7 linked regions of the Kluyveromyces lactis genome follow. The protein of the gene in region 7 binds, or shares a complex with, the protein of the main gene of each other region. Links are inferred from orthologs where the notes say so. Each region holds a gene or a part of one and is shown on either strand. Other genes may lie near its edges. The genes, in order: EAF7, EAF1, RPD3, ESA1, EAF6, YNG2 and EAF3.

Evidence for each region.
Region 1: EAF3 (region 7) and EAF7 share a complex: the UniProt entries of both Saccharomyces cerevisiae proteins name them as parts of the nuA4 histone acetyltransferase complex. The link is inferred for Kluyveromyces lactis from reciprocal best matches to the Saccharomyces cerevisiae genes EAF3 and EAF7.
Region 2: EAF3 (region 7) and EAF1 share a complex: the UniProt entries of both Saccharomyces cerevisiae proteins name them as parts of the nuA4 histone acetyltransferase complex. The link is inferred for Kluyveromyces lactis from reciprocal best matches to the Saccharomyces cerevisiae genes EAF3 and EAF1.
Region 3: the proteins of EAF3 (region 7) and RPD3 are in contact, whole or in part, in a cryo-EM structure (PDB 7YI3), measured with the Saccharomyces cerevisiae proteins. The link is inferred for Kluyveromyces lactis from reciprocal best matches to the Saccharomyces cerevisiae genes EAF3 and RPD3. Residues at the interface, in NP_015348.1 of Saccharomyces cerevisiae: Leu304, Asp307, Ser392, Gln393, Gly396, Val397, Met401; in NP_014069.1 of Saccharomyces cerevisiae: Arg99, Val102, Lys103, Ser155, Glu156.
Region 4: EAF3 (region 7) and ESA1 share a complex: the UniProt entries of both Saccharomyces cerevisiae proteins name them as parts of the nuA4 histone acetyltransferase complex. The link is inferred for Kluyveromyces lactis from reciprocal best matches to the Saccharomyces cerevisiae genes EAF3 and ESA1.
Region 5: EAF3 (region 7) and EAF6 share a complex: the UniProt entries of both Saccharomyces cerevisiae proteins name them as parts of the nuA4 histone acetyltransferase complex. The link is inferred for Kluyveromyces lactis from reciprocal best matches to the Saccharomyces cerevisiae genes EAF3 and EAF6.
Region 6: EAF3 (region 7) and YNG2 share a complex: the UniProt entries of both Saccharomyces cerevisiae proteins name them as parts of the nuA4 histone acetyltransferase complex. The link is inferred for Kluyveromyces lactis from reciprocal best matches to the Saccharomyces cerevisiae genes EAF3 and YNG2.

Annotation. Positions count from the first base shown.
Region 1 is NC_006037.1:1,007,818-1,010,668, forward strand, and holds EAF7 (Eaf7p), read left to right. Parts: upstream 1-1,142; coding exon 1,143-2,351; downstream 2,352-2,851. Other genes in the region: NAM9 (mitochondrial 37S ribosomal protein uS4m), read right to left, coding at 1-751; peptidylprolyl isomerase FPR1, read right to left, coding at 2,650-2,851. UniProt on the Saccharomyces cerevisiae protein: Component of the NuA4 histone acetyltransferase complex which is involved in transcriptional activation of selected genes principally by acetylation of nucleosomal histone H4 and H2A. The NuA4 complex is also involved in DNA repair.
Region 2 is NC_006041.1:1,912,891-1,917,048, reverse strand, and holds the start of EAF1 (Eaf1p), read right to left. Parts: upstream 2,801-4,158; coding exon 1-2,800. Other genes in the region: protein-transporting protein BCP1, read right to left, coding at 3,300-4,118. UniProt on the Saccharomyces cerevisiae protein: Component of the NuA4 histone acetyltransferase complex which is involved in transcriptional activation of selected genes principally by acetylation of nucleosomal histone H4 and H2A. The NuA4 complex is also involved in DNA repair.
Region 3 is NC_006041.1:185,677-188,960, reverse strand, and holds RPD3 (histone deacetylase RPD3), read left to right. Parts: upstream 1-1,485; coding exon 1,486-2,784; downstream 2,785-3,284. Other genes in the region: PEX6 (AAA family ATPase peroxin 6), read left to right, coding at 1-1,147; lumazine synthase RIB4, read left to right, coding at 3,270-3,284. UniProt on the Saccharomyces cerevisiae protein: Catalytic component of the RPD3 histone deacetylase (HDAC) complexes RPD3C(L) and RPD3C(S) responsible for the deacetylation of lysine residues on the N-terminal part of the core histones (H2A, H2B, H3 and H4).
Region 4 is NC_006042.1:1,032,524-1,035,492, forward strand, and holds ESA1 (NuA4 histone acetyltransferase complex catalytic subunit ESA1), read right to left. Parts: upstream 1,821-2,969; coding exon 501-1,820; downstream 1-500. Other genes in the region: peptidylprolyl isomerase RRD2, read left to right, coding at 1-398; mRNA splicing protein PRP46, read right to left, coding at 2,185-2,969. UniProt on the Saccharomyces cerevisiae protein: Catalytic component of the NuA4 histone acetyltransferase (HAT), a multiprotein complex involved in epigenetic transcriptional activation of selected genes principally by acetylation of nucleosomal histones H4, H3, H2B, H2A and H2A variant H2A.Z.
Region 5 is NC_006041.1:567,752-569,923, forward strand, and holds EAF6 (Eaf6p), read left to right. Parts: upstream 1-1,324; coding exon 1,325-1,672; downstream 1,673-2,172. Other genes in the region: ARP7 (Arp7p), read right to left, coding at 1-874. UniProt on the Saccharomyces cerevisiae protein: Component of the NuA4 histone acetyltransferase complex which is involved in transcriptional activation of selected genes principally by acetylation of nucleosomal histone H4 and H2A. The NuA4 complex is also involved in DNA repair.
Region 6 is NC_006037.1:630,072-632,793, reverse strand, and holds YNG2 (histone acetyltransferase YNG2), read left to right. Parts: upstream 1-1,334; coding exon 1,335-2,222; downstream 2,223-2,722. Other genes in the region: rRNA-processing protein FCF1, read left to right, coding at 1-271; KLLA0_A06996g (DUF4112 domain-containing protein), read right to left, coding at 384-995; KLLA0_A06952g (uncharacterized protein), read left to right, coding at 2,471-2,722. UniProt on the Saccharomyces cerevisiae protein: Component of the NuA4 histone acetyltransferase complex which is involved in transcriptional activation of selected genes principally by acetylation of nucleosomal histone H4 and H2A. The NuA4 complex is also involved in DNA repair.
Region 7 is NC_006041.1:1,191,102-1,194,102, reverse strand, and holds EAF3 (Eaf3p), read left to right. Parts: upstream 1-1,424; coding exon 1,425-2,501; downstream 2,502-3,001. Other genes in the region: casein kinase YCK3, read right to left, coding at 1-622; KLLA0_E13487g (C2H2-type zinc finger protein), read left to right, coding at 2,796-3,001. UniProt on the Saccharomyces cerevisiae protein: Component of the NuA4 histone acetyltransferase complex which is involved in transcriptional activation of selected genes principally by acetylation of nucleosomal histone H4 and H2A. The NuA4 complex is also involved in DNA repair.

The sequences.
Region 1 (2,851 bases), on a different chromosome or scaffold from region 7:
TAGAAAAGATCTTAGCTAACAAATACTCGTTACTGGTTTGGTCTAATTCTTTCCTCATTTGAATGTGCATGGTTTTGTTGTAGTTTTCGAGGAAGGATAAAAATTCCTGTTTCTTTGGATCGTTACTATCCATAGTTCTTAGTTTTTCGATCTTTTCATCCCAGAACTTTCTAGGATTCTTTCTAGCCTCTAGAATATATTTGTTCCATAGGAAAATTTGGGTATTATCCACTTTCAAAGCTTCCTTCAAGCTAGGTTTCTTGGCACCAAGAGCTTGTAGCACTTTTTCGGGTCTGACGTTGAAAACATCACCAGCTTTCAAGGCATATCCCGGAGAAGTAATCTTTACACCATTCACATGGACGTTGCCATGTAAAATAAACTGACGAGCTTGTCTCACTGACGAGGCAAACATAGCTCTAAACAAAGCAAAGTCTAGCCTTTTCTCTAGTACAGCGTATGTTTGTAATAGAATGGGCGTCGGTTCGATATCACCACCCCTTAGAGAAGCATCTAATTGAGCCACAGAGTTTAGCTGAGGCTCGAAAACAGACTGCCACCTACTCTCTGTTAAATGTTCGCCATGGTAGGCACGAGTTTCCTGTTTAGAAGTCCATTTCTGTTGGTATAGTGTTTTCGATCTAAAACTGACCTGAGATTTCTTATACAAGTTGAACAAATTGTACTTGTTAAAAGAGGTACGAACCTTCCCTCTGGACAAAGAGTTCAGAAGTACAGCTTTCCTAGGCATTGCTGGTCTTTTTCTTCACAATGTATTGACAAAACTAACCAGAATTGACTGCTTACGGACTCTTCGAAATGGAAATACATTGCATATCCGAACTACCTGCATAATATTTTTCAATCAAACGCTATCTAATGCTTGAAGCTTTCCGATATTGAAAAATTTTTAGAGGAATTTCGTGACATATGATATCAAATATTAGCATTCATAGTTTAGAAAGATGAGAAACACCATAGAACCATATTGAGATGGACTGGCGAAGATGGTATCAAGCCTCATACGATCTGCTTTATCAGCGATCTTGATAGGAACTTTATTATATCAATTGCAAGAACGTTCTTTTGGTGTATAAGGTTGTGATACTTCAGATAAAAGTAATACGATACGGTTCACTGCGATGTCCGCTGTAAAGATAGAATCACCTAGAGGGCAAACATGGAGTAAAGTGGAGGAAATAAGGCTGTTTAAATGGATGATGCTGTTCAAACCTGCAGGAATACATAAACACTTCCATATGGTGTGTTTGCTTGAGCGATTGAACAAGCCAGATCAGTATCCAATCAAACTTTTGCAAAGCGATAAAGGCAGCTCAGATAAAGTGTTTTCTGGGGAGGACGTTTGGGAACAATTGAGTCGGTACTATAATTTAGAGAAGGCAGATGAAGTAGAGAACCAGCCATACCCTGAATTTTATAATGATGACGGACCAACCGAAACTACAAACAAAAAGACAGAAGGGGACGCTCAACTAGATAATGATGATGACAGTGACAATGATGTTGACAATTGTGACGAGCTTAAGAGAAATATAATACCATTACAAAATAGACTCCAGCAAGAGACGGAATTTGAACTATCGTGGGAAGATTATGGAGAACTTATGTTAGAACATGCTAGGGATCATGAGGTGGAAGATATTAAGCAAGAGGAGACCGCTTCTGCGGATGACAAGGCAAAACTGAAGGGTGCGGAATCACAGGATACGCAAGTAGAACAAGAGTCAGAAGAGCCACGGGAACGAGAAAAGGATATCGATGAAAAGGATACTGAGCAAAATAATGTACAGGCGAAACAAGAAATGGCGACCACTCCGCCAGTCAGTGTTGGAGAATCTGTGAGCGAACTGGCGAATGAACCTGTCGATGAACCTGTCGATGCTCATAAGAAACCAAGGACAAGACGCTCTACAAGGTTGACACGTTCACAAAAGCGAGGCATTGATGACGAAAGTGAAAACAAAGAAGACCAACCCCATGGCGGAAACACCGATGAAAAGGAAGATGTCGAACACGATACAGAAGGGAGATCTGGTAGCGAAAAAGAATCGACTGCTGATGCCGCAGATACTACAGCTACAAAACAAGTCACATTTGCTGATGAATCTGAAGGTGCTGCCAAGGAATCAGCTAATTCGCCGACAGGGAAAGCAGAAGAGAACGAAACGGAATCATCTCAACAGCCGCGCCCTAAGAAACAAAAAGTTGCCGCTGCGGAGGAAGTTCCTGAAGATCTTGCCGACGTGGATTCTCCAGCTAGGAGAACAAGAAGAAAATCCATAACAAAACCAACTACAAGGCTCTCGAGCAGGCTTAGAAGCAGGAAGTAGTTGTTCTTGATTGTTTTTTCAATAATGCAATAACAACATAATATAGCTAATGGTTTATATTATAGGCATTTCGTTGATGTACAAAAATTGAATGTTAAAATGGAAGCATACAAACACTACGGCTACAATTTGATAGCAATTCCCATGTTGAAAGGTTGATGAGAAGGTACGGAAAGATGTAAAGCTATAATAATAATAATGGATGGGACCAATTGGAAGGAATCAAGGGAGAAACCAAAGAAAAAATGTGAAGGAAATTAATAGTATGTGTTTTATTCAGAAGAATGACATTATACATCTAGTTAATCTTCAACAATTCAACATCAAAGACTAAAGTAGCATTTGGTGGGATCAAACCTGGGAAACCACGTGGACCATAAGCGTATGGGCCTGGGATAGTTAGTCTTGCCTTTTCACCAACGGACAACTTTGGAATAGCAGCATCCCAACCCTTGATAACTTGACCTACACCAATGTTACATTGGAATGGAGAACCTCTA
Region 2 (4,158 bases), about 720 kb from region 7:
CAATGATTTCACGTTTATTAGCCGGTTTCGTATTTCTCTGTGTGGGAGTTTGAGTTGTAACCTTTTCTTTTTCACCTAGTGGTGGTGCACTCTGGGGAGTGGACTGCTTAGACCTAATTCTTGAATCCTTTGAGTTAGGATTATTTGCCATAGGCAAATTCGGACTTGATGCTGTAGTGAGAGGAAGCTTTCCTTGCTGCAATTGAGCCATCTGCATCCTTTGTTTGGCAGCACGTTTTATTTGCATATCCCTTCTCAAGGCCTCATCACGCTGAGCTTTTAAGTCTGACATTTCTTGAGGGGTTGGAACACTCATATTCTTAACATCAAAAGGTTTACGCGGCTGCGAAGGATTTGGTCTGGGTGCGTTTTCTCTTTTTTTAATGCACTTTCTCATTGCCTCAAACATACTTGCCCAGCGTAAACGCCTATGTCCTCGTTGTATGGATTCCGATCCCACACCAAGGGGAGATATTCTCCTTTTTTGCTGCTGCTGTAATTTATGAGCTTCGTACAACCATATTTGTGCATTATGAGCCTTTGGACCCTTCATATCTGCAATGTTGAACTTTTCGTTTAGTTGAACGAACCGCTCAAAGCATTGCCAAGGGGTTCTACGTTCGATGTTTGAAACATATTCTCTTTTGTGATGATTGGACATCTGAGAACTAATGAGGTCCCAGTTATAGGCATACTGGTTTATATTTTTGACAAGCTCCTGATCATCTTCAGGTAACCAGATGGTGGGTGTACGAAATTTCAAATAGCGTAATGATGGCGCATTAGGAGGGCGAAGATAATGGCTACGTCTATTTCCATAAAACATACCACGTCGTTTTGATAAAGGAACTAGAGATGGTTCTTCGTCAACAAATTGCTTTTCTACTAATTTCATGAAATGGTCCTCGTCAAGAGGAGAAATTGCCTTTGAAACCGGTTCAAAGGGCAATGGTCTGCTAGAATCGAGATTCTTTTCGTCCAAAAGACCATACAAAGGGAGTGAGTTTGAAATGGCTGCTCCCAGTGTTGATAATTCCTTTATATCAATGTAATTCCTGAAGGGAGAGGATGATTTCTTAGCTAAATAAACTTCCATGGAGGTAACCGGAAGAGATGGAGCGACGATTTCATCTTTGGGGTTAACTCTCTTTAGTAACTTTTGTATGTCTATGGTAGGCTCTTCAGATGAGTTTTTATCAGTTTCCTTGTCCCCCTCTTTGATACCATTTTCAGACTTCTCTTCCACCGCTTCACTCCCATCAGTTAAACCGGTACTTGATTTTACACCATCCTCTGACATCTCCACATCTTCAGCAATTTTAGAAGACCCATCATCGTTGGATTGATCAGGACTTGTGTTTGATTCTTTATCTTTTTGTTCTGGCTCAACTGTACTGATTTTTGTTCCCATATCTTGGGAGGAAGCAATATCTTCTATGTCCTTTGATGGCGGTGGAATACTTTTACAATTGATACAGCATACTTTACCATAAGTCCAAAATTCCATAACTGCCTGTGCCATTTGAGTGCACATGGCTATCTTATAATTCAACGATTCACGGAAGTCTTCACGCATCCATTTTGCTTCTTCAATCAACACATTATGATGAGTTACAGGTTGTGAAGCGGTAACGGGATCGATAAATTTTCTTGGTTGTCTAAGTGACCAGAGATTCAGCCTTCTCAATTCCTCTATCCTTGATGCTACTACAGTGATTCGTCTTTCATTCAATGCAGTATTAATCAGATCAGTCGTCAATGCTTTTTGAGATTGTGGTATCAATCTCAGCAAGGGCAAAGTCTGGGATAAGTATTTGATTTCTTGAATGGGCATACCCTTTGCCAACTTGGTTGGCGCGTTCTCTTTCGTAATCATGTATACCGCCTCTTTCACATTTATGTCATCTTCGAAAAACGTCTTACGCTCTTCCTTTGATACATTGTTGATAATAGATTCTATAATATAGGGTTGAGGTTCTTTCACCCCAATTGGTGTTGGGTCAGCATGCAATTGTGAGATGTCTATCATCTGAGAATAAGGATGAGGCGGAATTTCCATTGTTGCAGCGTTACGTGCAGCGGTAGAATTAGATAGGTTTCCACTATCAAGCCGTTGCCTTTTACTTATTTGATTTTCGGAAATATCTTGTTGTTCCTCATCTAACAAACGCTTTCCAGAAGTACTTGGCTTTGATTGGGTCTCCGGATATTGGACAGATTTCGGTTCCATATGTGCCTGAACTACCACAGGAGGAACATTATTATGTGTTATCGGCAGCTTCTGTGTGGGAGACACCGATCGCTGCTTTTGCAGTTGTTGCTGCTGCAGCTGTCGAGATGACTGCGCTTGCACCATAGATTGCCTTGAACTTTGCTGAATTGACTGCTGTGACTGAACTCGTGGAACTACCCTTGTTTGAGACTGCGGGAGTGTCTGCGTATCCACATCATGTTCCTCGCTTCCACTTGGCGACACGTCTTTCGACCGCTGTTTCTTCAATTCTCGTTTCACTTCTGACGGTGAAGAACTCTTACTCCTGTTATTCAGCTTCCTATCTGACGACACGTCTCTCGGCCTAAACTTAGGCAATGCATTAATATCTATAGGCTTGTCCTTGATCAAGGTATGTTGATCTAAAAACTTTTCTATCTCCTTCCCTATTCTCTCATGATTCTCCACGTTTTTTAACTCGGTAATTTGTGAGATACAGTACAATTGTACTAGCAAGTGCCGTCTCTCCTCTAAGAGCTGCTCTGGGCTCTTACTTCCAGTAGCATTCCCTTTGCTTGCACTGCTCATCGCCTTGAAATCCTTACTTTCTATTAGATGTTCTGTGAATATCTGTCACGTTGAAAAAATATAACTTTCGGTCTGAATGGCAAGTGATAGGAAAATATCCAAAAAAAAAAAAAGGAAACTGGGTCCTCTGATTTTTCTTTTAGCGAGGGCTTGTCTCGGAAACAGCACGCTTCTGTACAAACAACAGGATCGTCCAACCAAACAAGGCTTTTCTGTGTCAGGTACTTTTGAAACTGAGTCGAATAGTGTTCTCACGGTCCTGTTCTGTTACCGTATTACGGCTTGTTTTCTCGATTTCTACTATATAAGTACGTATTTCATGTTGTTCAGCAATTTTTTTGTTCCTTGAAAGATTTTTTTTTCTTTTGGGAGGCCGAAATCATGTAAGGAGGGTAACTAAAGATCAGGTCACGTGCGTTAATTGTTGGGTTCCCAGAACGGGATTAATCCACATACCATCATCACCTTCCTCAATGTAACTACTGAACATTTACATCACTCACCAGGTCTTGATGGCCGCATCTAGATCTTCGATGGATTTAATTAGTCCAGCATGGTCCAAAACCATGTACGATGTAATAAGACCCTTTCTCGCCTCGGAATCCACATGGACTTTGGCTAGCTTTTCAAGGAAACGATCTTCTTCATGGAAATAGTCTACTTCGTTTGTTTGTCTTACCTTCTTGCGGACAGCTTGGTTCGATGTTAGATCGTCTTCGTCCATATCAAAATTCACTTCGTACTTCCTTGAAACGATTAGGTAGAAATCATAGTTTTTATCATCCCCAAGCGCAAGCTTCACATCTTCTAATGTGATAGTGTACAATGGCGGCACAACTTCTGGTGGCATATTAATCAATCTTTCACTCAAGACTAACGAACAAGTCTTCTCCGATTGATCTATAGTTTGTAGGAAAGTAGCTAGCTTGGGGTCAACTTTACGAAGATATTTGGCATAATCACTATCTTTGTTGGCCTTGTAATCGATAAATGATAGGAAACAGTATGGGTCAGACTCCTTACCATCGGTTTTGATGGTAGTAGTTGGTGAGTCCAAGATTAAATTTGCCAATTCACTTAGTTGAATTCTGTTCGATTCCTGTGGTCCAAACAACTGACGCATCAGATTCTTCAAAGCATGGAAATCAACGTCGGGATTACCATTGAAGAAATCAAAATCGATGTTGATGATTTCTTGTTCCTCTTGACCGTTTTCTTGGTCTGAAATATTTGAGTCTGTACTTGATATGTCAAGATCAGATTCCTCATCGACTGCACGTTTCTTGGATAATGCACTTAATTTAACAACCTGGACCATTGCAGACTAAAATAGAGTGTTGTTGCTGGTTTAATAAAGC
Region 3 (3,284 bases), about 1.0 Mb from region 7:
CCAAACTCCAAAACTGAGGTCACTAATATCGCATAATGTTCCATTGCAGACAGTATCTGTTCAATCGGCTGGTTTGACTCCAATGGATATACGATCAATCGTCAAAGCTGTCAAGTACAAATGTTACCAACGTCTAAAGCAGAACGACCTTCTAATTGATATGACCGATATAACTGCAGTCATAAATATTGCAAGAGATAGATTCTCAGACTCTATCGGAGCTCCTAAAATTCCTAACGTGACTTGGGATGATATTGGTGGGATGGATGTGGTCAAAGGAGAAATCATGGATACCATAGATATGCCACTCAAGCACCCTGAACTATTTTCATCTGGTATGAAAAAGAGAAGTGGTATTCTTTTCTATGGACCTCCTGGGACTGGTAAAACCTTGTTAGCGAAGGCAATTGCGTCTAACTTCTCTTTAAATTTTTTCAGTGTTAAAGGGCCTGAACTTCTTAACATGTACATTGGTGAATCCGAGGCAAATGTTAGACGTGTCTTCCAGAAAGCAAGAGATGCTAAGCCATGTGTCATTTTTTTCGATGAACTTGATTCCGTGGCACCAAAGAGAGGAAATCAGGGAGATTCTGGGGGTGTTATGGATCGTATTGTGTCTCAACTTTTGGCAGAACTAGACGGAATGAGTTCAGGAGGAGACGGAGTGTTCGTAATTGGAGCTACGAATAGGCCAGATCTTCTTGATGAAGCATTATTACGTCCCGGTAGGTTTGACAAGATGTTATATTTGGGGATATCAGATACCGATAAAAAACAGGCAAATATCATCAAGGCTTTGACGAGAAAGTTCACACTAGAATCTGGTATCGATATACTAGATATTGCCAAAAAATGTCCGTTCAACTATACAGGTGCAGATTTCTACGCATTGTGTTCTGATGCCCTTTTAAACGCTATGACTAGAGTTGCTGGTGAAGTTGATGAAAAGTGGGAGAAGTATAACATGGAAAATAAAAAGAATATATCATTGAGGTATTGGTTTGATAACGTGGCAAACGAGAATGACTTGAAGGTCGTGGTAAAATTACAAGACTTCGAGCTTGCTCAACAGAATCTAATACCAAGTGTTTCTGAGGATGAATTAAGACATTACTTGAGATTAAAGAGTAGTTTCGAATCTCAATGATCGTTAATAAGTAATCATATCGAATATTATTATAAATCATATATAACAAATATATTAACTCATCCATGCAGGATGATCTGGTCAGTAAAAAGTTGGTCTACTTCTTAATCTTCTTCAACTCGTGTAACATGACAGATCTCTTTAAGGCTTTTCTTCTTTCTTTAGCTGCTTGGAAATTCTATATTGATGGAGACGGTGAAAAATGAAGGTAGTGATTTCTATTAAAACCTTGATTTATGTCGAAAACATACCAAGAAAGCTATATAAACAAGAGGTGAAAAATTTGTACCGGCTCTCCAACTTAGCGAAACTATTAAGATTAATTGTGCGTGGACGGTATGGTATACGAAGCTAAACCTTTTGACCCGATAACGGTGAAGGCTAACGAGAAGAAGCGAGTTGCATACTTTTATGATGCTGATGTGGGAAACTATGCTTATGGTGCAGGACATCCTATGAAACCACATAGAATAAGAATGACACATTCGTTGATTATGAATTACGGTTTGTATAAGAAGATGGAAATTTACAGGGCTAAACCTGCAACGAAACAGGAGATGTGTCAGTTCCATACCGATGAATATATTGATTTCTTGTCTCGAGTCACTCCAGATAATTTAGATATGTTCCAAAAGGAGAGTGTGAAATTCAACGTTGGAGACGATTGTCCTGTGTTTGATGGTTTGTACGAGTACTGTAGTATATCTGGAGGTGGTTCTATGGAGGGTGCAGCCAGATTAAACCGAGGCAAATGTGATGTTGCCATTAACTATGCTGGTGGTTTACATCATGCCAAAAAATCGGAAGCTTCAGGGTTCTGTTACTTGAACGATATAGTGCTAGGTATCATCGAGTTGTTAAGGTACCATCCTCGTGTTCTTTATATTGATATTGATGTGCATCACGGTGATGGTGTAGAAGAAGCTTTTTATACTACGGATCGAGTTATGACATGTTCTTTCCATAAATATGGGGAATTCTTCCCAGGTACTGGTGAATTGAGAGATACTGGTGTCGGGAAAGGTAAATACTATGCTGTGAATGTCCCATTAAGGGACGGTATTGACGATGCCACTTACAAATCGGTATTTGAACCAGTCATAGGTAAAATTATGGAATGGTACCAACCTTCTGCCGTGGTACTCCAATGCGGTGGTGACTCTTTATCCGGCGATCGTTTAGGTTGTTTCAACCTTTCAATGAAGGGTCACGCAAACTGTGTCAACTACATGAAATCGTTCGGTGTTCCTCTCATGATTGTTGGTGGTGGTGGTTATACAATGCGAAACGTGGCTCGTACATGGGCTTTCGAAACGGGTATTCTGAATAATGTGATTTTGGATGAAGAACTTCCTTACAACGATTACTACGAATATTATGGCCCTGATTACAAATTGGATGTCAGACCATCTAATATGTATAACGTCAATACACCGGAGTATTTGGATAAAGTGCTACTTAATATTTTCAGCAATCTAGAGCATACTAAATATGCCCCAAGCGTTCAACTCAATCACGTTCCTCGCGATGCGGAGGACAAAGGTGACGCCGAAGAAGATACTGCAGCTGCGAAGGACACTAGAGGAGGTTCTCAGTATGCAAGAGACATAACCATTGAGAATGCAACCGAATTTTAGCCAGAAAACAAAAACAGATGATCTTTTATTATTTACTGTATTATAATATATTTACACTTAGAAGTACTCTTCCGCATTTGCTACAGGTTTTATCGTCACTCACCTAATCACTGTTATATGTCATTCATCCGACGGTTAATATGATGCTGAATATACAGATTGGTGCCCAAGTTAGAATTGATCTAATGAGGTCAATTTTCTATCGTGTTTTCCCTCCGTCAGTATCGGTATTTGCCATAATTTTCCACGTAATACTATTCCAGTTCAGATATGACTTACATCTGCACTTCGGTTGTCAGTAACAAATCTATATATGAAAAAGATCAAAAAATGAAAATCCAGAAGCGAATGGATATTTAAAAGTTAAGATCAGATAGGTCGATTACACAAGAATAAAGCTTATCCTATTTCATATAGAGATATATATTATCTGATAGTAGATACGTTGTATCTAAACATTCAAATCACAGTTAGTAAATTTTGCAATGGCTGTTAAAGGT
Region 4 (2,969 bases), on a different chromosome or scaffold from region 7:
TGTTCCAAGACAGGTATCTATATTTCGGCTGCATTGCATTCATTAATAAAGTTAAAACCACAGCTAGTTTGAGATGGCATTCACCTATGTTGGATGATATAAGCGGGGTGAAACGGTGGTCAAAAGTTGCTGAAGGCATGGTAAAAATGTATAAGGCAGAGGTTCTACAAAAATTACCAATCATGCAGCATTTCTATTTCGGATATTTCTTGAAATGTCCCGAGGGCGTTAGTGAACCATCAGCACGCGCACAAGATCATCATGAAGATGATTCATGCTGTACTGATGGATCGCATGGTCATAGTACTTGGGCGGATTGTTGCGGTATTGCAGTCCCTAGTGCGATTGCGGCATCTCAAATGGCTAATAAAGACGTAAGACTATTTCCTTTTGATTGAATAATATTACATATGATGCGTATACCGAAACTTAACTACCCTTATATATACCAACATAACGTTAACAAACAATAACATAGACCGCAATTCACGATGCATTATTTACCATGCGAAACGTAATTGTGAAGCGGTAAATACTGGGGGTGTCCAGATTAATTTTTGAGGATCTATAGATCTCCTCTTATTATTCTTTAGCTTTTTGTACCTTTTCATCACATCGCTATTCAAATACAGTACATGCTGACCTCGATAGAACCTTAATATTTCTAAGGCTTTTGCAGTATGAAGAATATCAGTGGTAGTCATAGAGGAAATTGAACTAACTTCATCGATGGTGATTTCCTGGCCGTGCTCTACCAAAAGCTTAATCAAGGTGTCGGCCCAGTATGCTCTGTAAGATAACAAACCCAAATCCGATAACGGCTTTTCTGGTGATCCGACTTTACCCTCTTTCTTAGATAACTCATAAGAAAACTCGATTAATAGTCTACCGTAACCCATTCTTTGATATTGAGGTAGTGTTAAAATACATGCCACATTATAAGCATCAGCTGATTCCTTTTCCTTTGAGAAATAACCGACAATATGATGGCCTAGTTCATCACGCCTAGTCATACAGTAAAATAAAAATGGATCAACATCATAGTACAACGTTTTATGATCCAAGAAAAGTTTAGACAAAAGACATAGATTACGGCACCATGTCCTCTGTTTCCGACCATCAATTTCAAAGAAGGAAACATAGTCATCTCTATATATCTCGTTACCTGGAGGATGTCGTAGAGTACATTTCTTTCTGTATCGTTCATATTGTTTCTTTGATCCGAAATATTGTAGGGAAAAATCATCGATATATACCACATCCTCATCAGTCAACTCTATTGGATAAGGTGAAAAGTACCATGGCTCTATTTCATATTTGCCCATAATCACCTTGTTCAAATTTCTAACTCTAGCCACCTCATTCTGATTCTGTGTCATTGACCCCGATGTACGAAGCTTCTTTATTTCATCTTCTCTGGAAATATCTTCATTAGGAATCCCTTGTACATTCAAATTATCCAAATCCATCACATCCCCACCATCCGGAGTAGCACTGGCTGCTTGTGGTGTAGCACTTTTATTCTGTTGCTGCTTCTTTTTCTTCGAGTCTTTCTTCTCTTCAAGCTCTTTAGGCCTAGGAAAAATGACTTCCTTGTCTATCTGTAACCTATCAGCAGTGATCCATTCATCTAGACGTTTATTGAAGTCTTCATAATGCACGTAGAACTTAGGTGGATCTCTTCTGCTGTTAATGGATAGAATTTCAGCAAGACGATCTTGACCATCTTTTAGTACCCATGACTTGCATCCAACGAAAATCTCATCGATGCTGTCAACCTTCTGGGGAATCCCAGGTTCCTTTTCTTCGCCGTGACTCATGTATTAGCGAGCTCGCCCAAAATATTTGTTAAACAGTTGCCTTGCCTTACTAGTTCCTCTTACAGAGGTGCTCTGTTTTTGGATTTGGTTTATTGCGTAACTAATAAGTTCAAATATTTTGAAGATGCTAAATTTCAGTTAATTTATTCAGATTACCGTATTAAAGCAAACACCATGCTTGAACAAACATACAAGAAAACCTGACGTTCCCTGTCCTTGACTACGTGACTGTAATCATATGACAGTTAGAGCAAACCTCGCAATTAATGCAGACTGAAATATTCTAGATAGATGGAAAACGGGGACCTAATAGAGTTAAACTACAAACTTCTACATAAGTCGCTGCAAGTAGACACCAGCTAGATTAGAATCTTTGAGATATTAACGTGGGATTCCACGGCAAGCCAGGGAATGTATCTTCTGTAGCATCAGGGACTTGCTTCCATATTTTGATGCTTTTGTCTCCTTCCCCTGTGATGAGTCTTGTTCCTGTGACATCAAAGGTGCTGCATAAAATCGATCGCTCACTTTCAAGTGAGCCAGCAACTTCAGTTGTCATCATACTTTGGTATTTGTGTCCTGTTTTGTAATCGTAAAAGCACAAAGTACCGTCATCTCCACCAGCTAATAGTACATTATCGTGATTAATTGATACGGTATTCAAAATCCCAGTGTTCTGGGATTGAAAGTTGGTTAATAGCTGTCCTTCGGGCAATTTCCAGGATCTGACGTCGTTCGTAGATACACTGGCAAAGCTAAACTCTGCTGGGTGTAGCGTCAAGTCTCTGATGTTTCTACTATGGTGCGTTAAAACTTTGCTTGCCTTCCCTGCAATGATATCCCAAAGTCTAACTGTTGCATCCCCGGAACAACTGATTATTTGTGGGTCAACGGGAAGGCATTTGACTTTATTTATAGGGCTTTTATGACCGGGCAGAACCATTATCTCAGATCTTGATCGTATATCCCACAACCTTACTACAGCATCACGACCAGCAGTAGCTATTATATCAAGGCTCGGATGAACATCAACGGTATGCACGCCAGATAAATGACCGTGAAAATCCCTAATTGCAGTATTTCTTTCTAGATCCCAACATTTTACAAGTTTATCTTCGCTTGCTGAGAACATATAAGGATGTCTCTTTG
Region 5 (2,172 bases), about 620 kb from region 7:
TTTTCTCTATGTCATTGACATCTGCCATTTCTACATCTCCGTTTGCATTGTTACTTACGTGTATCACTGGCTTGAACAAGAGTTCTCCAATGGTGTATAGCTGTTTGTTAGTGAAGGTGAGAGTTTTCTTATCGAGTAGGAAATTTTTGGTCAAGTCCATTGGTGACACCATATGTTGGTAATGAGGAGCCACGTCATAATTAGCATCCAATTCAATCGGAGAAACTTGCAGCATGCTATTCTTGAAGTTGGGTAGCCATTCAGTGGCATCCCTCCAGATTTTCGTTGATTTGCCCGAATCCTGCTTCAAATATTGATCGCAGATCTGCCAGTTTAAGAATGCACCACCGATCTTGTTCTCCTTGCGGTATTGTTTGAAAAGAACACCATCAATGACAACGTCCACTTTCACTCCACTGTGGCCAATGTCCACCACAATTCCACTCGATCTTCCCTGACTCAACGTGTTGCAGACAGCCTCATTCAAAAGTTGGACCATTGGAAAACCGTACCCCAACAGTTGTTCCATAAATCTCTTACGACGCGCACTGTTTAAGTCGGAAGGTAAGACAACACATACTGGATAGTCTTCGAACTGTATGCCTAGGCTTTGAAAGATGTACTGCCATTGAGCATCCATCATATCCCAATCATTTGGAAGTCCGTTCTTATCGTACAATTGGTATATTTCAGCGCTCTCATCGTCGCAATGCTCTATCATTTCCCATTTACCGAAAACTTTAACATCCGATCCATCTCTTTTATAGGCCAAATATTGAGATGGTACAATTAACTGCGGCAAATCTTGGTTGCTGAACCCACAAATAACCCTAGTCTGCGAGATCTGTATCACCACACTCTTCATGGTCGGCATCTTGAACTTGCAATAGATATAACGTAATCACTCTATATGCACCAGAACAAAGAGAAGATCTTCAATTTTCAAAAGCAGATAAGGATTAACTTCTTCAACAGCTACCTGTTTTTGCCGATTATAACTGCTATCAATGGAAAATTATGGCTCTTAAACGGGATACTAGAGTTGATAACACTGTTTATGTTGATGTTTACATGTTGGCTTTTTTTTCGTCGGTTCTTCGAATTTCAAATTCCAAACTGAGTTCCAGTACTGTTACCCGGACTCGTCGCCAATGTTAATATTGTTTGAAAGAACGCACTACTTCAACATCCAATTTGCATATATAATAACAAGAAAGGATGAAACAGACGATCCGCTATCGAACGGATTTGAATCTGGTTTTGATTGTGTTCTACTCTATCGGTAAAGTGATTTAACATAACCTAACACTCATCTCACACAACTATGGACGAACAAAAGAAAGAATACGAGAAACTAAAGAAGAAGCTTCGAGATGCTTTAGTACAGAAGAAACAACTCGAAGCCAAGTGGAATAGTTTAGAGCAAGAGGTATACGATAAAGAAACAGAGTATCTATCACAGAAACCATCTTCCAGAATGGGGAACATTCTGCTCGGGTTTCAGGGTTTCAACAAGAGCAGTTCTGCGCAGCAGATATTGTCTGACCACTCACATTCGTCAAATGCCCAGCCATTGGACGATAATGATCGCATTTTTTCATTAAGTTCGTACCTTTTTGCAAAACAATTGGCTGCTTCCAATCATCAAGAACAAACGAAGTCCAATGATTGAACAGGAAGCTTATCTGTTTGCCCTCTTCACTGAGACATATCCAGGTCCAGGACACCGGACACAAGAGACAAGAGACAAGAGACAAGAGAAACTAAGGGAGGGGGAAGAAAAACGGTATTATTTTACCCCGCATCTATTTCTCTTGAAGCACTCTTTAAATGCTCGTGATAATTAATCACTTTGTAACATTATGTATTCTCTCTTCCTAAAGTATTTTCAATTACTTACCCTTAATTTTTGAGAGGCCTCTTTTTCTTTTCATCCGTCAGATCAACGATCATAGAATCAGTTTAATCAATAAAACTTGCGTCAAACTACTCGTAGAAGCAAAGGATTGAATCGTTTACAGATTTCCAGTCCAACCGAATTGTCCCAATGTCTTAGATGAGACTCAGGTGCTATGTAATGGTGTATGTATGTGTGGTTAGCATGAATTCTAACCTCCATTCTTGATTGTTAATTGGAGTATCACTCAGCCAATCAATTTTCAGAAACTGCCA
Region 6 (2,722 bases), on a different chromosome or scaffold from region 7:
CTGTGTGATGGCTGAATTAGAGAAGTTGGGTCCCAAGTATCGTATAGCGTTGAAGCTAGCTCGTGATCCGCGAATCAAGAGGCTAAGTTGTTCGCATAAGGGTACTTATGCGGATGACTGTATTGTTCATAGAGTGTTGCAGCACAAGTGTTACATTGTTGCCACGAACGATGCTGGTTTAAAGCAGAGAGTGAGGAAAGTGCCGGGGATCCCATTGATGAGTGTTGGAGGACACTCCTATGTGATTGAGAAGCTACCGGGTGTGTTCTAGGATAATATAAAACTGGGATTTAGCATTATACATAGCGGTATGAGTATGTATATATATATATAACTTTTCTTAACAGGATAATAATTGTACATTAGCACAAACGGCTTCTCGCTTATGTCTGTTTCAAGCCTTTTACCAAGTCTGGGTCCCTTCCTGGGGAGACAGAACCTAATTCTACAGGAGATGCGGCAATGGTTTCACCACCGTATTTCTTTCTCAAGTATTGTTCCAATGCAAGTGTGTTCCTGGAATTTGCCTTATAAGCAATCCCAACGATATCACCAACAATGGGAATCAACCCTAATAGGAAATCGATACAGATGTTCCCCAAGAGCTCTGCCTGCAAGGGCACAGGCAAACCACCTTGAATCTTCTGTGCTTCATGGAACACTGTCCATGACAAGTACAAACATATTAGGTCACCGACCACTGGCAAAAGTCCAATGATACCGAGCCATCCAACTCTCATCCCAAATATCTTAAACATCATATCAAGCCTGTAAGCTCTTTTCCTAACCCGTTGCAACACTGTTCTGTCATTTAATGGGACATAATCTGGAATTGCTTTCTTTAGCTTCTTATGCACAACTTGGCTATTTCCAGTCCAAAACGACTTCTTCACAAAAGTAACTTCCTCATAGTACGGATCCTCACCCTCACCAATCTTAATGTCGCCAAATATCTTGTTGGAAATCTTGCGTAGAATAAATGAATAGAACACCATGGTTTAGATTCAAGGTAAAGTTAACAAAAGAAACTGTCGTCGCCTATAATCGTGGTAAATTCGGTCTTTAACAGAGTTCAAATAAGCTCATATGCCAGGACTAGCTTTTCTGAATAATAAATACTCCCAAAAACTAATGGAAACATGTTTGTGAAGTACCAAACCATGTCCCTTTATCATGACTTTTTCTATTTCAAAGCCTTTAAAGCCAGGGAAAGCTTTAAAGCAATCTGGCAAACAATTTTCCATTGAAATAGCAAAGATACGTATGTAAGAGAAGAAGCTGTACAAAGAACGCTAGGCAGGCGCAGTTAGCATTTTGGAAGGCTGTATGGAAGAATGAGTAGCATTAACGAACGACCACAGGACCCTTCGAGTGCGTTGGAGCAAGCTACACAGGATGTTGCGAACTTGAAATCAGAGTTCCATCATATCATGGATGAAATGCAGGTAGCAGATAAAACCCTGGTGAGCTCAAGAGAGCAGTACCTACGGGAGGATTACGTGCTTCATAAACTTGTGAAACAGCATGGTTCGTTGACCAAGGACCCTAAAGAGGGATCCATTACTGAGACGGTAGAAAAAGAGATGAAGCGATGCGGCGATTTGCAACAACAGAAATGCATATTAGCCAATACAGCATTGTATCTAGTAACGAAACATTTGAGCAAGATCAAGGCCAACATCGAGTCACTTGAGGAAGATGGGTTACTTGCACCCTTGGATGATGAGCTTTCGGATAAGAAGGCTGGATCTGTTGATTTAGGAGCTGGAATCGCTGGCCTTGGTAACGGAACGGCTGGATCAGGTTCCAGTTCTGGTAGGAAACGGCCAGCCTCTTCATCATCAGCGAACGGGAAAGGACAGAAGAGAAAACAGCAGAAGAAAGAGAGATCTAGGTCTCATCAGCGTGCAGGAACAGTGTCTCGTGACGTGAGTCCTAACGCTGGTATCGGTAGAGATCCGACTTTCGATGCTTTGGCATATAACGATGATTTGTTCAAGATGAACCAAGGCGGCGAAGAAGACGACAAGCAGTTGTACTGTTTCTGCCAAAGAGTATCATACGGTGAGATGGTGGCGTGCGATGGTCCAAACTGTAAATACGAATGGTTCCATTACAGTTGTGTCAACTTAACGGAACCTCCAAAGGGTCAGTGGTATTGTCCAGAATGTCGACTGGAAATTGCTAATCAGAAACTAAATAAGAAGAAGAAGAAGCAATGATCAACGAAGGTTGGTATGACCCATTCATGGTCTTCACATTTCTTCACTCCTGCCGCTCGTATATATATATATATATCCTCATATGTAAATATTTTCAATTCTATCATGTAATGTATTATTATAATTAGCATTTATTCGATTCTTATTCTATATTCGACTTTGACATCTTGTGCTCTTTGTGAAGAGATGCAGAAAAACAGGCGAAAGCTATCGAAATAGTGGTCTCTGAAAGCGCACCAATAGGCAACATGGCTACACTATTTGGAAAGACGTTGTCTCAGGTTCATCCGAAGCTTCGAACAAATGGTATTGGTATTGCAACTAACCATAGACGCATTTCGCTAGGGTTCGATTTAGTGAGCAGAGACAAGAAGAATCCGTTATTACGGAAGTATTTAAGGAAACGCAGACATCGTGGGTTGAGGCGAGGGTTGCATCCAGATGAGCAAGGTAGTTATCACACTTTGGATGAGGATTTTGGAAGCAGTGTTAGAGAACCG
Region 7 (3,001 bases):
TCGACATGTACCGCGCAGTCCCGCTCAAAGATTTACGCTCTCTATATGGTATATGTTGTTTTGTGTTTGGGTCCCTAAACTGCTTTGCCATTCCGAAATCAACCACGTATATTAGGTTTGCGTCACCACCACTGCTTGTGGCACACGACTTAACCACTGACCCATCCGATAACTCCCGTTGAAACTCAGATATCAAAAAGTTATCCGGCTTAATGTCCCGATATATCAAATCATGCTCGTGAATAGAACGTACTCTATCAATCATCTGTTTCGCCAACATTGCTGTCGTCTTTACGGAAAATTTTCGACTACACCATTCAAATAAATCTTCTAACGACGGACCCAACAAATCGATGATCAAAATGTTATGAATCCCCTCTTGACTGAAATAATACGCATGAGGAATTCCTCTCACATCATTCAATATCCTATATGCGCGAAACTCATCCCGTAACTGTGGTGAGTCAGACCGTCTGGGTTCAAACTTTATAGCAACAGGGTTCTTCGACCCACCATTTAGAATGTTTTCACCTTCAAAGATTATTCCAAACGAACCTTCCCCAATCTTAGGACCAACAGCATAGTGAATTCCTACCACATGCTGGGACGAACGTTTAGACATTGCAAAAGCACCGACTCTGGGTTTTATCAAGTCCTATCGGGAAACAAAAAAATACAATACTAGGAAATGTGGGAAACCTTTCCTTTCTCTCTTGCTTCGAATAAAATAGTTCAGTAGCCACCACTCAAATAACGTCTCATCGACTCAGAATACCAATACAGATGTTTGTCCGCGTGTAAAAGATCGTCCTTGCCAGTCAGAACCGTTGTGGTTTGCTTCTTTGGTCACTGTGATAAAAGGCTGTTTCTTTCAAATTTGTTTTTGTTTCATCAACTTTTTTTTTTCTTTACTTTGGCATTAAAGGTCAGAACAGCATTATTAGGAGAGCTTTGCAGACCTTGTGTGATGGTAAGAGGTGGATATGCGACGTGATTAGTGGCGTTGTGGTGCTGGAATTGGTGTTGAAGGGTGGCCAAGACTTTATGAATTGATACTAGTTTGACTCTAGTGCTTTGAGGCAATACTTGGAGATATCAGGTCACTTCCAATGTCATATCATATCACGTGAGTTGTCACGTGATCAGAATTTCCCACTTCCTTCTTCTTGGAAAGTACTGCATTCCTTCCAAGTAGCTGCGGTTTATATACCATTACTATCAAGTGCTCACCTAGTGTTATCTACTGTTTCTATACTGTCCGTTTTCCCATGTTTCTTCACGTAAAATTCAAATGCCAAATCTTACGTTAAAGCTACCATCTAGCACTTTCACGAAACAGAAGTTACACATAGTATTTGAACCTGCTACGCTGGTCTTTCTCCAAAATTTAATTGTCCCAGGGGAACTTTCAGTAGCTGTTGATCATGGCAATTGTTCTAGATGGGAAATGTTTGTGTTATCACGGACCTTTGCTCTATGAAGCCAAAGTATTACGAGTTTACGATGAAAAGAATCAGACTATTACATCAAAGGACTACAAAGACGTGAGTATTGACGATGAAAAAGTAGAATTTGATCGTCCGCCGGAACATATGAGACAGGGCCAATGCTATTTTGTGCATTACCAGGGCTGGAAGTCGAGTTGGGACGAATGGGTTGGTTTAGACCGAATCAGACCGTATAACGATGAGAATTTGGAATTGAAGAAGTCGTTGGTGGAAAAGGCTCGAGAGTTGAAGAACAATGGTGGGAAGAAGAAATCAGGATCACGGCCTGTTGGCAGGCCTAGTAAGGTTGAGAAGGGCAAAAAGGCGGCCAGCCGTACCTCAAATAGTGGCAGTGGTACTAATACTTCGGCAAGTTCGACTTCCGCTTCTAATCCAGCCTCATCTTCATCTTCTGGTACAACAGCAGCAGCTTCCAGCTCTGACAAATCCGACCGTAAGAAGGCAACCCCAGTACTAAACAAAAGATCACACCCTAAGATACACATAAAAGTCCCTATCTCGCTTCGTTCTGTGCTTGTAGACGACTGGGAAAACGTCACAAAAGACAGAAAGCTAGTACAACTACCCAGCGAACGGCCAATCGAACATATCTTGTCCCAGTTCTATGCAGATACTAGCAATTCGACCTCCTCAGTGGTAGAACAAGCTCAACTCTCAGAATTTCTGCAGGGAATAAAACTCTACTTCAACTTATCCCTGGGGAAATTACTCTTGTACCGTCTAGAAAGAATCCAATATGCAGAACTACTGAAAGCACACTCGGAGAAACAGTACACTGAAATTTACGGAATTATCCATCTACTAAGACTAGTCACTTTACTCCCCGAAATGATGGAATCAAGCAACGTCGATGACCAAACTGCCAAGATCCTAGTGAAACAGTGCGACATTTTACTCGAATGGATCGCCATAAACATCGCGAGGAAAAACTTCCCAGTAGATCCCTACATAAACACGTCCTCCCAATACGAGGGGGTCGCACTAAGCATGTAATATATCTCTACCACATCTCCAGACCCCACCACATACACCGTTATATATATATATATCCCCCAAAACCCTTTTTTCGGGGACCCCAGAAATATTATTTCCGGGCCGTGATTATAAGCGATCAACATCTGAAAAACAGTTTCGATTCGACCGTACTCATCATAGCATAACAATCACAAGACATCATAAATATACTGTTCGTTATCCTTAAATCATCAGCTGTCGGAGCCTCGGAGTAAGCAGTGTACTTCAGTATCTATTGATATATTTACGCTGTACAGCAGACGGTGGTAGAAAATGATGGGTTCTGAGAGTAAGGAAGCGTCGGAGGAAAAAGTAGGCGGCAGATACGTTTGTCCTCATCCAGATTGTGAGAAGACCTTCTCACGGTATGAGCATTTACAGAGGCATAAGCTTAACCACTGGCCGAAGCAGATATTTCGGTGTGAATATGTTTATCCTGACGATGGGATAGTTTGCAACCGGACTTTCGTTCGGAAGGA